3 linked regions of the Xenopus tropicalis genome follow. The protein of the gene in region 2 interacts with the protein of the main gene of each other region in a biochemical or structural test. Links are inferred from orthologs where the notes say so. Each region holds a gene or a part of one and is shown on either strand. Other genes may lie near its edges. The genes, in order: creb1, atm and rpa2.

Evidence for each region.
Region 1: of the proteins of atm (region 2) and creb1, one has a biochemical effect on the other in vitro, tested with the Homo sapiens proteins (2 studies listed by BioGRID). The link is inferred for Xenopus tropicalis from reciprocal best matches to the Homo sapiens genes ATM and CREB1.
Region 3: of the proteins of atm (region 2) and rpa2, one has a biochemical effect on the other in vitro, tested with the Homo sapiens proteins (3 studies listed by BioGRID). The link is inferred for Xenopus tropicalis from reciprocal best matches to the Homo sapiens genes ATM and RPA2.

The regions. Positions count from the first base shown.
Region 1 is NC_030685.2:49,783,035-49,788,610, forward strand, and holds the start of creb1 (cyclic AMP-responsive element-binding protein 1), read right to left. Parts: upstream 2,847-5,576; 5' UTR 2,713-2,846; intron 1-2,712.
Region 2 is NC_030678.2:159,880,711-159,886,186, reverse strand, and holds part of atm (serine-protein kinase ATM), read left to right. Parts: intron 1-1,131; coding exon 1,132-1,370; intron 1,371-1,939; coding exon 1,940-2,109; intron 2,110-2,441; coding exon 2,442-2,608; intron 2,609-3,594; coding exon 3,595-3,966; intron 3,967-5,476.
Region 3 is NC_030678.2:79,458,001-79,462,483, forward strand, and holds part of rpa2 (replication protein A 32 kDa subunit), read left to right. Parts: intron 1-1,226; coding exon 1,227-1,340; intron 1,341-1,460; coding exon 1,461-1,535; intron 1,536-1,731; coding exon 1,732-1,845; intron 1,846-3,648; coding exon 3,649-3,768; intron 3,769-3,960; coding exon 3,961-4,055; intron 4,056-4,483. UniProt on the Homo sapiens protein: As part of the heterotrimeric replication protein A complex (RPA/RP-A), binds and stabilizes single-stranded DNA intermediates that form during DNA replication or upon DNA stress.

The sequences.
Region 1 (5,576 bases), on a different chromosome or scaffold from region 2:
ACGGCAATGTGCTGTGTGAAAAGCAGCTCAACATTTCTGTGCTACTTTTGCACACTTATATATATGACATATCACAGGCCTTAAGACAGGGAAGCGTCTCATTATACAATATTTATTTCCTGCTATTTAGATTTATTTTATCTTATGGACAGACTGGGATTCACTCAGCAAAATATGCCAAAGGTATATACTAGAATTTGCCATACAAGACATTTCTCTATTATTATGTACTATAATAAAAGGCCACAGCTACAGGTTTTTAACAGCATTATTATACTAGGATGGGAGAGGTATGTGTCACCCTCATAGTGTTTCTATCAGTTTTGTTTTCCTTTTAGTAATCAAAATGAAAACCTGCAAAGCCCTTGCATAAAAAGAAAGTTTTCATCTAATGTATTATTAAAATGAAAACAACTTTGAAATATACCTCAGAGCTTAAGTGTATGATGATCTCTGCCTATTTATGAAAGTGTTCAATAACTAGAGTATAACGAAAAAAAAAAAAAAAATACGCATGCAGCTTATTTGGGGTTTCTGGAAAGGGGCTTTGAAAAGGCAGACTTACAGGAGAATGTTCAAAGTGTTGGGAAAAAAAAACAACCTATCCCGCCTAACAGGAAGTGACTGAATAAGCAAAACACAAATACAAAAAATAAAATGCAAGCATTTTTGTTTTTAACTTTATTGCATTTCAAGGGAAAAACAGCATTCTTATGGGGGGGAACCCTTTGAAATCCATCTATATGCACTGTAAAGTTTACTTGGTGTTTAAAAACATCTCTAAAGAAGTCTATAACTGTTTGCCATTAACCAAGAATATAAAACAGTATTCTAATTACTGAAATATTTAAGCCTTAAATTAAAATATCACAAATAAAGCCAAACTATGTTTGTCTGCATTCAAATTAAATCAATTAATATTTAAGCGATATCAGGTCACTTATAAATGTTAGAATTAACGAGCACACTAATATGTACCAACCCCCCTGAAGCCATGTTATAGGGTACCAGCAATGAAGTTTTAGCAAGTTTAATTGTGTGTAAATGAGTGCTTTGGGTATTCACATATTAGCCCCAAACGGACAAGCTAGAACTTGGGTCTCTAAATTGACCAATACAAATTACAGCTTTCTAGAACCTGGGGTCCTTAGCCCTCTACTTGGCAGAATGTTTGAGTACCACAAAAGTTGTGCTTTAATGCTTCCCTGCAATTACTAAGGTGATGTAGATTTCATACTTTTGAAGTCTAATCATACCTGACATACTTTAAATGCAGATCTGCATTAAGTAGACAATACTAAATAAAACAAAATGTAAAGATCTATTATAAACAAATTTTATTCTCACTGTCCAGATGTTTTCATCAAACAAAAAGTAATGAGCAAGCATGAGGGAAATAATGTGGAAGTTCAATAAGGGATTGCAGTGCAACAAAATATATGGACAAGAAAACCGTACCAGTCTTGGATGAAACATGGAAATCTCTGAAATGTTACAATCTTCATTTCTTCATGAAAAATGTGTCAAAATACATACACAGACTGCCAGAGAGACATTGGGGCCAATTCTGTTTTTAGAGCTTCAAACATTCAACACAGGATAAAAAAAACTGCAGAACAAGGGTCACATAAATATGAAGCTTTAAAAGCAGGATTAGTGGAACCTCCCTCTGGTAATCTTGGTCAAAGAGCTCACCCTCACCAGTCTACACTGACCCTTGATGCTGCTGTTACCCAACCAGTGGACAACTATTAAACCATGACTAGAAGGATGCCCGGGAGCTGGGGTAAGAATATACAGTAAAAAAATAAAAATATCTACCCATTGCTGCCAGAAGAGCAGACAGTTGGTGAACCCTGACGATCAGATATTTCAGGAACCCACTAACAATTCGAAATGAAGTCATGCTCAGCAAAAAGACCTGCCTGCTTTCCCTCTGTACCAACTAGCGAGCCACTCAAGTCCAACCTGCGGCCCTTCAGCTACTAATATGCAGCCCTCAGCTCATCCTGACAGGACCTTTAGTTCGACCCCGGCTGGAGTGCCGCAGGTAGGAGCATTGTTTATAAATAATAACCTAAGAGTCACGTTAAACTTTAAAAAGAAATTTAACTTTAAAAAGTAGTGTTAAAAAATATGGGAGGAAAAGAAGAATTCGTTCATCGCATCATGAATATTCCCCTTTGAATGAAGACTATATTGCGGGAAAACATGAACGATACTAGTCGCATGTATCTAACAAGCCACAAAAAAAAATATATATATACATACACACATATATAATATATATATATATATATATGTGTCGTGATAAGCACCGTTGACTGTCGCGACAGTGAAAGATTGCGGAGGTCTCCCCACCGGTGACCCCCTGTGGCTGTATCGCACACCCCAGCTCTTGCCGCCGCCGGCTGCCTCCTCCCGGCCGCCATTATCCTTTGTTTCGCGGCTCTTTATTTCACCCCCTCCGCACGGTCTCCATTTTTACTATGGCGGGGTAAACATTCTGTATTATCTAAGGGGGTAAAAAGGGGAACCATGACAGGCGGGAAAGCAAGCTCGAAGGAAAAGCCGGCGCGCTGTTCTTGGCAGCCCCCAGAAATCCCTCCCTACAATCAGTTGCCGCCTGGGTATTTGTGAAAGCAGCCGGCGGTGAGGCCTGCTCCATCTCTTTTCCTCCATGCCTCTCCCTCTCCTCCTCCTTCCTCTTACCGGGTTACACTGCCTCTCCTCCGTCACTGCTTTCGTTCGCGGCTGGGATCTCGCTGGGCTTTTTTTTATTCTCTTCCCCACCACGTAACACACCGCGTCAAACTACACCTCCGCCGCGTCACTGCTGCTCTTGCTCTCTCTTCTTCCTCTTGTGGTGGCGCTAGTTTTTTTTTTTCTTAAGCTCAGGCCCGGGCGCGGCGTCAGGGCGGCGGGCTCTTTTCCGACAGGACACTGAGGAAGGCCTCGACAGACTAGGCAGCCAACAGCAGAGGGCGGGGCGGAGCTAGCGCAGGGTGGAATCTGGGCAGGCGCAGAAGTTAGGCCTTAGTAAAACCTTTCTGCTGCAGTTGTACTACAGTTCCCAATACCCCTTTCCGACACTGTAAGCGGAAACCCGTGTATCTACTGATGCGACAACTTGCACAGGCTGCAGTAAAGCTACAGAGCTAACAGGCAGTTAAGGTTGGTGAGTGTGGGAATTATGAGAAACGGGCTTTGGTTACCCGCGGCGACCTTACCTGTGCTTTGGCTGCTTTGGCTGAATGAACAGTGCCGTTGTTGTGATTAAAGCTATCAGTTTAGTTTTCATGTTTTACAGGTTAGTCTGATAGTTTTATTACGATTCTAGAACAGATAACGTTACCCTGTCGCCCTTCTTCTTTTTAAATCGGAGCTGTTTCATGAAGTGCTTATGACGCTATAGTGTACTTGCCACCTTGAGTATTAGGTGGCCTGATGAAGGGGTTCGCCCCCGAAACGTTGCCTTGAATAAACACGCAGGGGTTATACCCCACTTGCACTTTACTTGTTGTGCCGGCTGAAATCATTTTTACTGGACTTTGCGGAGAGTGCGGACTCTCTGGGCCGTGCACCAAGTAGCTAACCTGTTGGAGGAGGTAAGGGTGTGCTGGTGTAACTATTTTTCCATTGCAACTTAAGGTTGCCATACGGGGCCAGATTTCAGATGCTAATTCTGTTCCTTAAGACCGACTCTGCAGCTTATTTGCCCCTGCATGGGACCCTCCGACAGAACCCCCCCAACAGATATCTGGCCAAAAATGATCCAGATGTTGATTGTACGTGCTTGATTTTTTGCAGGATCGGGGACTGCATTGGCTTATTGATGTGGTCCTTGATCTGGCTTTTCCTATCCCCTTCATTGCAATGTGATGGGGCACGATATCACCCACCCAAGGTAGGCATATCGGGTGAAAGATTTGCCCGTTTAGTGACCTTGCCATGTATGGCCAACTTTAAAGGAACAGTAACATCAAAATATGAAAGCATATTAAAGTAATTACAATATAATGCACTGTTGCCCTGCACTGGTATAACTGGTGTGTTTGCCTCAGAAAGACTATTATAGTTTATATAAGCAAAGCTGCTGTGTAGCCATGGGGGCAGCCATTCGAATGAGAAAAGGCACAGGTTACTTAGCAGATAACAGATAAAATGTGATTGTATTCTATAGAGTTTATTTGTTATCTGCTATGTAACCTGTGCCTTTTCTCCTTTTTTCCAGCTTGAATGGCTGCCCCCATGGCTACACAGCAGCTTATTTATATATAGACTATAGGAGCGTTCTGTAGCAAATACACCAGTTTTACCAGTGCAGGGCAACAGTACATTACATTTTAATTACTTTAAAACACTTTCATATTCTGGTGTTACTGTTCCTTTAAGTATTAAGAATGGATTGAGATCCAAAAATATCTTCCCACTTGTGATCCCCTTTAGTACAGAGTAATAGGCGTTAGAGTGGTGCATGATTGATTCTAAACAAAAATTTTGGTCTTAAAGCTGACTTCCAGTGCTACCTTAAAGTCCCTTGGACCGATTCGGCAGCTAATCGGCCCGTGTATGGATACTCCCAACGGGCCTGCCCTACCGATATCTGGCCTGAAATCGGGCAGATCTCGATTGGGCAGGTTAGAAAATCTAGTCGGCTCGTTGATGCGGTCCCTGGACCGACTTTTCCTATACCCTCCATTATAATCGAATTACCCTGGATTCTCCCGATTTTGCCCACCCGTAGGTGCCCACCAGGTTGCATTTATATGACCATAAACGCTGCATCATGTAAAAGCATGTGTTGCTGAGTACAACTCTGTTCTATGCCAAAAAATAATCATGAAATGGATGAGGCCCCAAACTTTCCCCCCAATTGTCTGATTGGGTGGCTCTCTTTAATTAAAGGGTTCCACTTATAAAACTGGCATAGCTTGCCAGAGGCTCTCCACTAAAATTTGAATCCATTTGGATCTCCCTGTTGGATTCCAATCCAGCACTAGACTTACTAGATGATCCACCTCACAGGAGGGACCCCCACCTGGATTCGCTTCACTTACCTTAAGGTCTCTAATGTTACAGGTGCAACAGTTACAATATGACTGATATATTTACCTGACTGTCTCTCTTACTTGCTTACTTACCTTGTGATGGAAGATACACTTCAACGTGCTTCAGTACCACCTGGAATGCCTTTGAATAATTCTGTGTGTTATGTTATTGTTTGTTTGTAACATGAAAAATAAATAACTTGAAAAAAAAATCTGTTGCTATAAATGATCTTTTTTATACTCTTCTATTGCCTAGGCTTTTATTTGTTGCTTTGTTCTGTTATTATGTATATTGTTGCAATCAGCAACACTATTTGCTTCACTAGTTTTCCTCTCTGCCTGCTTCTGACCTTGGCCTTGATTTAAACATCTTATTGCCTTACCCTTCAGTTATGGTCCAAGTTTACCTGCTTTTCTTTAATTGGCATGTTTCCAGTATGTTTTTGCCTGCAATTTAATATAAAAGGTCATGCATAATTTGAAATAAATATTGGGTTACAAAGATGACTACCACATCTTCTGCCA
Region 2 (5,476 bases):
AATCATTCATTATTAATACAAACTAATCCTGACTAAATTGCAAATTGGGTGTACTGAATGATTTTGGCAATTGCACACAGGATGTTTATCCGTAGCCCCTAGTTTTTTTGAGAAGCGACTTCAACCAACTTTATAAAGCGGTGATGCATATGTTTTGCCAAAATTTCCCATGTTCCTTGTCCTAAACAGCATATATTTTAGTATATTTTTTACATGTTTCTGCACATTTTGGGTGAACAACAACCTGACTCCAACATCGGTAGTTAATCACAGGATTCACCAATAATTTCTTTCTAGAGTTGTGCTGATATAGGTTACAAAGATAGCTCGTAAATATATTATGACTGGTTAGGTAGCATGAAAAAAACTAACAAAAATTGATTCAGTGGAGGGCAAACAGACAAACCTTCTCTTACAAAAATATGTTGGACACTAGGGAGACTTTAGTACATCATTATTGGGTACTAGTATGTGCTAGTTTCCTTAAAGGAACAGTAACACCAAAAAATGAAAGTGTTCTAAAGTAATTGAAATAAAATGTACTGTTGCCCTGCAATGGTAAAACTAGGGTGTTTGCTTCAGGAACACTACTATAGTTTATATAAATACGCTGCTGTGTAGCCATGGGGGCAGCCATTCAACCTGGAAAAAAGGAGAAAAGGCACAGGTTACATAGCAGATAACAGATAAGACACCATTGTATTCTACAGGGTTTATCTGTTAGCTGCTATATAACCTGTGCCTTTTCTTCTTTTGAATGGCTGCCCCCATGGCTACACACCAGGGTTTATATAAACTCTAGTAATGTTTCTGAAGCAAACGCACAACTTTACCAGTGCAGGGCAGCAGTACATTATAGTTTAATTTCTTTAAAATATATACATTTTTTGGTGTTACTGTTCCTTTAAACAGTAGTAGAAATAGATGTTTGACTACCACTTCTCTCTTCCTTCTTCTCTCTTTTCTCTCTTCTCTCTTTAAGGAAATAGATTGTTCAATACAAAATGACATTATATTGATATCCAACCTGTAAAAGTTAAAATGCAAATAAAAATCATTGAAAAGAAATAGATGTTTGACTGGTTCCTTCTCTAAAGTATGGTAATGTTTTGGTGTTGCTTTGTTTGCCAGGGATGAGAGAAACCCACCTGGTCTGGATCAGATCCTCTCTGCTCTGAATGTGTTCCTTACCAGCGCCTCAGGGAATTGCCGGATGCGAGTGTGCAGGCTGGGGGAGGACTTGTTCCTCACTGTATTGCGGATCTGGACAATTCAAAGGCCTAAAGATGCACTGAAGGAGGAGATTGTGGAGTTCTTCAGGTTACTTCTTCGAATTCATCATCCAAAAGGAGCCAAGACTGTAGATGAAGGTGCAGCTTCTAATTCCTCACATTTAACTTTCCATGCAATGCGTGGTTGTTGAATCCCCTGAGATTTGTGATATGCTTGCTGCTTCTAGAATTGTATAAGGGGTAGTTCTGAGTACATTACAAGTACATTTACTCTTTTTATACTTTAAGACCCCTTAAGAACCCAAACATTTACAGAGTAGATCGAACAAAATCTTTTCCACAAAAACTATTGCTCTGTGAGGCTACAATTTTATTGGTATTTTTACTTTTTATTACTTATTTTTTTATTTAGGTCTCTCATTCATTCATTCGTACTTACTGGTCGCTAAAGTAATTTGAATCCTAGCAACCAAATAAGTGCTAAAATTCCAAAGAGATAATTCAAAACCTCAAATTAATAGAAAATGATCATCAGTTGCAAATTGTCTCAAAATAACTGTCTACAATATACTAAAATCTAACTCAAGAGTAAACAGCAACCACTTTAATATGGGAAGGGTGAAGTGCTGAAACGTCGCTGGAAAGCTCTGATAAAGACATATGGAATTTGCTTTATTAATGTTTTTAATGATTTTATTTTTACCCAGGTGCTTACGCTTTTGATCCAGACAGATGGAAAAGGAACTTGTACAACTTATATGACACACTGGTAAATGAGATCAGCCAGATAGGCAGCAGAGGGAAATATTCCTCAGGCTCCCGAAACATTGCAGCCAAGGAAAACTTGATTGAGTTGATGGCTGACATTTGTCATCAGGTAAATTTTTTGTTTTCTGCCAGAAACTTCTGAGCAATATATATTAATTTAATTGAGCTTTAAAAATATGTTGCTGTTGGTACCAGTAAATTCTGGTCCACCAAGGAGGACAGCACCACATTTTAGGAAAACGAATAAATTCTGACCTCTTGTCTTGGTCTCTGTTGAACTGGTTTTTATCTTTTCCATTTTCATAGAGCATTGTGGAAAAGGTTATTGCTTATAGACATTAATACCATCTACCTACCATAGCCCGTTCAATGTCCACATCTGCTTTATAGTGAAAAGATCAGTCCTTCCAGCCAATAACAACCCAGTTTCTCTTTGTCCAGCTATTCACTGAAGACACTCAGGTGCTGGATATCACACAGGCTGCTTTCCTAGTGACCCAAAGGGAACCATCTGGAGCCCCCAGCAAGCGCAGAAGGATTGAACTTGGGTGGGAAGTGCTACGTGACAACCTTCAGAAGTCCCATAAAGATTTTGATATCATCCCTTGGTAATATGAACTTCATGTTTTATCATTTGTGGTTTTTGAATTATTCAGCTTTTTGTTCAGCAAATCTCCAGATTTAAATTAAAGCAGCTATCTGGTTGCTAGGATGCATATTACCCTAGCAACCAGGCAGTGGTTTGAATTAGAGACTATATTATGAATAGGAGCTTTGAAGTTTGAATAAAAAGATAAATAATAAAAATGATTAATAATAAAATTGTAGCTTGGCAGAGCTATAGTTCATGGACCCCCTATTTGGTGACTCCTATTTGGAAGCTTGAAAGAAGAAGGAGGCAAATAATTAAACTATAAAAAAAAATAAAGAAACCAAAAAGACCAGTTGAAAAGTTGCTAAGAATTGGCTGTTCTAAGCAGAAAAATGCATGTGGTCAAGATGGGTGCTCTCACAATAGTATGAGAATCCATAGGCACATAGCACTAACTAATATCTCAGTCCTAAAAACAACTCCAAAAGCACTTCAGGGTGGCCCCACTCAATATATAAATTTATACACTATTTGTGAAGCATAATAAAATAAATATTTACAAATTAGATGAGATCTCAGCATATTATAAATACAATTACTTTTGTCCAGAGAAGATTATTAGGTAACTGAAAATTATTTTCCTGCAGACAGAAGTTATAATATGCTGACATCTGCTCTTTCCTATTGGTTCAATAGTGGTTCAGTAGTGGACCACCAAGGATTATCTACTGTTGAAACAGCACTTGGATTCTGATTTCCTATACAAGAGCTGGGATTTTCCTACTGCTTTTACTTAAGTATCACAATGCCCAAGGGGGGTATGGTATGCCACCCCTATCGGTTTTGGCTAAGTTTCCTACTAGGCAGTGCCAGAAGTAGCCCTTGCCTTTATGCACCCAGGTCCTAAGTGATCATATAGAGAGAAAAATGAATAAAGTTACTTGGATTTTGGCAGTTGTGGTCATTTTGTTATTTGACAGTTTCTGTATTCAACGTTTCTAGGTTACAAATTGCAACCTGCTTGATTGCCCGATACCCAGTGAGCCTGCCTAGCAATGAGCTGACTCCATTACTGACGGTTCTACACCAGTTACTTGCCCAGCAGAGACGAGGCGAGAGGGCCGCTTATGTGCTTCGCTGCCTAAAAGAGGTTGCCGTTTGTCAAAAGCAAAAAACAGATGTGAAGATCACACCAAAATCAGATCTGTACAAACTGTGGTCTAAAATCTGGGCTGTTACGTTGCGTAGCATCAGTTCTCCCCAAACAGAAGAGGAAAGTTTTGCCTTACTGGGCTCCATCTTACAAGGAGGTCTAATACCGGCTGACACAGATTTCTGGAAGATTTTTTCAGGAGCTGCTGCCAAACCATCCAGGTGCTTAAAGAGTTTTAAGAAGAAGCTAAAGGTCGAATTGTATTTTAAAGATATGTTTCAAAATTTAAAGTTTTGTTGTGAGAATTTGCTGCTGGGACTTTTCTCCTCTATCACCAAAAAATTACCTTCAGATTTAGGGTGCAGCCATATAGAACCCTATATTCTTTCTTTTTGCACAGACCCTGACCAGTGCTGCCTTCAGTGTAATCACAGCTGTTCAGCTGTGAGATAAGTTAAGTAAATGTTATTTAGTTTTTAGGTATCACTAGGGTGTGGCACATTGCACATAATTGCATTTTTGGCTGTATATAACCTTGCAGTAAACAGAGCTAGAAACTACCTGTGGCCAATTTCCAATAGGATATAGCTCATCAGAGCCCTGGAATCAGTTAATAGAGCTTCTCTAGCAGAATCCTGCATTGAAATCCGTTTTTTTAGGGCTCTGGCACACAAGGAGATTTGTCGCCTGCGTTTTTCCTCCTGGCGCTTTGGCGACAAGTCGCCACGACAATACCCACGAAGAGATTTCATGCGAGTTGAGCTCCAGGCGATCTGCTACCCATGGTACACTCAACAGTTAACCCCCCCCTCATGTTTACTTAAGTCGCTCAGAAAAGGGTCTGTGTGCGATTTGAAACAGCAGGCGATTTGAAGTAGCCTCGTATGTTTTGACGCTGGCGATTTCCATTGGCGTCTTGTCGCTCGTCTTGTCGCCAAATCGCTCTTTTAAAAATCGCCGGCGACAAATCTCCTCGTGTGCCAGAGCCCTTAAAAACACAGATTTTTTTATATGTACTCTGATAAACTTCAGTCACACTTTACTGCTGAGCTGCAAGTTGGAGTGATATCACCCTCCTCCCAGCAGCCGATCAGCAGAACAATGGGAAGGGAGCGAGATAGCAGCTCCGTCTTGTAATTAACACTTTTTCTGCTTTTCTGCCCTCTCCCCCTTTCTCTGTGTGTTGTAAATGAGCCCTCTGGTCTCAAGTGTACAAAAAACAATGTTATGGAACTTAAAGGATAAGGAAAGCTAAATTCACTGAATGCTGCCCATATATTAGACACCCCCAGTAAATTTAGCAGAAAGGGTAGCCACGGTGCAGATGAAAGGGTAGCCATTTTGCAGCAGAAAAAGTAGCCACGTGACAGCGGAAAGGGTAGCCACTGTGCAGCAGAAAGAGTAGTCACGGTGCAGCGGAAAGGGTAGCCACTGTGCAGCAGAAAGAGTAGTCACGGTGCAGCGGAAAGGGTAGCCACTTTGCAGCAGAAAGAGTAGTCACGGTGCAGTGGAAAGGGTAGCCACTGTGCAGCAGAAAGAGTAGTCACGGTGCAGCGGAAAGGGTAGCCACTGAGCAGCAGAAAGAGTAGTCACGGTGCAGTGGAAAGGGTAGCCACTGTGCAGCAGAAAGAGTAGTCACGGTGCAGCAGAAAGGGTAGCCACTGTGCAGCAGAAAGAGTAGTCACGGTGCAGTGGAAAGGGTAGCCAAAGTGCAGCAGAAAGAGTAGTCAT
Region 3 (4,483 bases), about 80 Mb from region 2:
CCAAATAGCAAATTATAGCTTTTGTACCCCCAAGAACTTTTTCTATGCTTGTGTTGCTTCCCAAAACTCTTTTACCATTTGAATGTGGCTCACAGGTATAAAAGGTTGGGGATCCCTGCTCTATAGATTAGGTTTTTGGCTAACTATATTCTGCATAGCTTTTCTGTTTTATTATATTTATAGCCAGTTTTATTTTTGCACTGAACTGTTCCCTTAAGATCAGCACACATTTTTTTGTCTACTTATTGCTGTGTGTAGGCAAAATCCCTTCACCCTTATCTGAATGTGCCTGTTATAGTAAGAGATCAAATTGTCATCTTTGATAAGGAAAACCATAGGTTACTTGGAATGCAGTTTATGTTTATATCCTAAATCTTAGGTACAGGTATGGGACCTGTTATCCAGAATGCTCAGGACCTGGGGTTTTCTAGATCTTTCCGTAATTTGGATCTCCATACCTTAAGTCCGCTAAAAAATTATTTAAACATTAAATAAACCCAGTAGGGTTTTTTTTGCCAGTAAGGGTTAATTATACCTTAGTTGGGATCAAGTACAAGGTGTTGTTTAATTATTACAGAGGAAAAAAAGTTTTTTTAAAATGTGAATTATTTCCTTAAAAGGAAGTCTATGGGAGATGGCCTTTCGATAATTCGAAACTTTCTGAATAACTGGTCCTATGCCTGTATTTCTTTTTACATCTCACTCGAGCCACTGTTTTGCAGTGGTCTTTGTGCTACCTCAGAGAACAGATAATGCAGGTTCTAACTATAACAGGAAGAGGTGTTTTGGTAAAAGACACAGCTCTTCCCCTTCATTGACTGATGTGACTTAGAACACGTGCATGCCACTGTTTTTTTGTGTGACCCCCAGTGTATCATATGAGTTGAGGTGCTTTATAAGGAATTATCCATGTGTTGTGTGTTGAATAGTTGTATAGGTATAGTTCCCCTTTAATATATGGTCCTGTTATGCATAACCCCTTAATATTATTTCGCTTGAAAGAAGAATAGTGATCCAATAAATACCTTTTTACTAGTCGGCTATTGGGAAGATTGTGCATTTAGGTGCCTATATACCCTTGGTGGAATGTGAACTTGAAATACTTTGTTGTTGTTCAAAGAGGAACCAACAAGTAATGTAATGTGCACCATATCTCTTGAAATAGATATGCCTATGCTAATATTTTTTTTATGAAAGTATGTTTTTCTTCTTTTTTTTTTTTTTAGGTTACTATAGTCGGCATTGTCAGGCATGCAGAAAAAGCTCCGACAAATATTCTTTACAAAGTGGATGATATGACTGCAGCACCAATGGATGTCAGACAGTGGGTGGACACAGATGTAAGATATTACTGTCCTGTTTCAACTAGATTTCTTTATATTTAAACCATGGACAATTATATAACTGCTTCTAGTTTTACCACTGTAAAATGTGCAAAGTCCCAATCATTTTCTTTGCAGGAGGCAAGCTGTGAAAATATGGTGGTCCCTCCAGGGAGTTATGTAAAAGTAGCTGGTCACCTTCGTTCCTTCCAGGTAATTATTTTAATGAAGCTTTTACTTCTGGAACAACATTATTTTTGTTAGAAAATTTTCTTCATGAAAGCACTAGCTGTCCTAGTGAAAATACTGTAGCAAGGCAGAGCAGAGAATAAAATTTATATTTAGCCAAAAAAGAAAATGGAGGACTGGAAAATGTCACTGAGTATTTAAAATTTGTATATCCTTCCAGAACAAGAAAAGTGTTGTTGCATTTAAGATTGCTCCTGTTGATGATATGAACGAGTTTGTTTCTCATATGCTGGAAGTTGTTCACGCTCACATGACCATGAATTCCCAGGGAGCGGTAAGTTAAAATTAACTCTTTACCCTGCTCTTAAACAGCTGGTTAATAGGCAGAATTCAAAGTAATGATCAGGGAAGCATACTTGTAATTTCTAGTCATCTTTTATTTTTGTTTATAATTTGCTGGTTCTCTGGTAAAATCAAAGAAAGGTAAAAACTAAGTAAGCTTTAACAGAAAGGTCTATGTAAATACACTTCTCTGAAAAAAGATTAGTTGTGTCTGTAATTCCTGTGCCAGAGACACGCAGCTTTCTGTTCTCTGCTCTTTCCTGCTCCCCCTCCCTCAAGAATGCTAAGAACTCACTCCCCCCCCTTAGGAATGTGGATATGAGCCAATCAGCAGGACGCTAACTTACTAAGTTAGTCTAAGTCTAACTAACTGAGCATGTACAGTTTGTTCTGCATGTCTGGGCAGGAGTGAGCCATTATGGGAATCTTTTTTACACAGCTCAGCGTTTTTTCTTCCGGTTTGGCTTCAGATCTTCTGAACAGGTGAAATATGGGGAAACTTAAAGGAACTGTAACACAATTTTTTAAAATTCAAAATATCTTTTTAAAATACTTTTATTAGAAAATATATCATGGAAAAATTACAAAAGTATAAGTGGTTTTCTTGAAAATTAACCTTTCCATTAATTTATTGAACTCAGGCAGCAGATCTCCTCCAACTCTCGTAGCAAGCTTCCGGGCAGCACACCCCTCCTCCCCCTCCCTGTGCAGGCTTACATAGCGATCCGTTGTTACAGGCAGGCAGTCTTAGCTGTCAAGTAGAAACGCTCCGTCCCCCATCCCTCTCCCTACACAATCCCCAACAAAACCATAAATCACTCCAAAAAATGACCCCGAAGACTCTAAAGAATGCGGCAAGATAACTTCCGGATTAGCACGGAAGCCAAGGAGTCGCCGTATCGCCTTTTGAAGGTTTGCCCAGTAAATCAGTTGTAATATAAATTATTCAAAAACCACTTATGATGCTGCAATTTTTCCAAGATACATATCTTAATAATAGTATTTAGAAGGCATATATTTATTAAAACTGAAATATTTGTGTTACTGTTCCTTTAAGGGCACTATTGAGACAACTGAAGGTATGCCTGCAGCTTGGGATTAACTCTTTATTAGCCTTTCCTTCTCCTTTTATAAGCTTTTCTGTAAATTATAAAAGCTTGTTTAAATGGCTCACAGCACTGTGAAGTGATTATTTATCATGGAGGTGTGTTATGTGCTACATATGATTAACATAATTATGAAAATTACAGTATAGATTTATAGTTAGTTACACCAATGGCTACTATGTTACTGCAAGAGAAATACTCCGATAGAAAAACTGTACCTTTAATTATTAAACAGATAATTTAAATCATAATTAGTGACCATTAAAGGATCTTGCTAGATGAATATATATCAGTAAATCCTGCCCTTTTACATCTTGTCCCTTGAACCACTGTTTTGTGATGGTCTGTGTGCTCCCTCAGAGATCTAACTTGCATGTTTGTGTCTGAGCCGGGGGTGGCCTTTAGTAATTTTTCTATTCAGGATTATTCAGAGGCACACATTACTAGAAAAGTATATTTTTATGGAAATGTTTTTTTTAGATGAAGCAAAAAGTATGGGCTCTATTATGCAATATATTTTAAGAGACCTGCAATTTTAAGGTATAGTTTCCCCTTCAATATTTGTGTTATAAATGTCACACTTTTAAATATTATTCTTGAATTTTTGGAACCTGGATATGTTGGCACTTCATTTCTTTGAGAAATTCTTGTGACTTTCAATTCAGATTCAAACAAACTCCTTTTTACAGCCTTCAGGAGGCGGATCAGCGGTGGCACTCAATACACCTGGACGCCTTGGTGACAGTGGTGGAGCATTCTCAGGTGGAAATGACAATGCGACAAATGGGCTGACGCCACATCAGAGCCAGGTAACTGAAAAGAAGTCGGTGTCCAAAAAAAGAATAGTGAGTAGTTTGTCATGGTCCTATAGAAGCTGTGGATACTAGAGCAACAAAAAATTATGGATTTACCTTATAAAAGAGAGAAATAAAAAGCGTTGCTTCAGCAAATTGCACTGCAAACAAAATTTCCCTAACATTTGTATTTTTGTGTTATTGCAGATTCTTAATTTGATCAAAAGCTTCAAAGGAAACGAAGGCATGGCTTTTGAAGAACTGAAAAATAGACTTCATGGAATGAATGTAAACACAATTAGGTATGCAATCCTCACAAAACTAGTCATGTCTAGATGTCTAGTATGGATGTATTTATGTAGGATTTTAATTTACGCAGGAATAAATCCATTTAGTCTTTGTTTCTTAAAGTGATACTGACAGCCAATGAATTTTTTTTATTTTTTACACCTGCTGTTGTCTTTTAACTTGTATCAGCTTCAAATTCCTTATAAACTAAATCTGCGTAGTTTTTTCGCTTCATAATTATGGTAGCACGAAGTACAGACCCATGTTTGTTCCCCTCTTCCGGGTTTTAATTTAAATGCCTTCCAAGTGAATAAATATGCCCAATCACAAACCTGCAATGCCCCTTCTGCTTTCAGCCGGTGTGTGACAAGCTCAGCTTCGTTGTCTATGTGTAATGGGGAGGGGGAGGAAGAGAGAGCCCTTAGAAGCAGGCAGGCAGGTA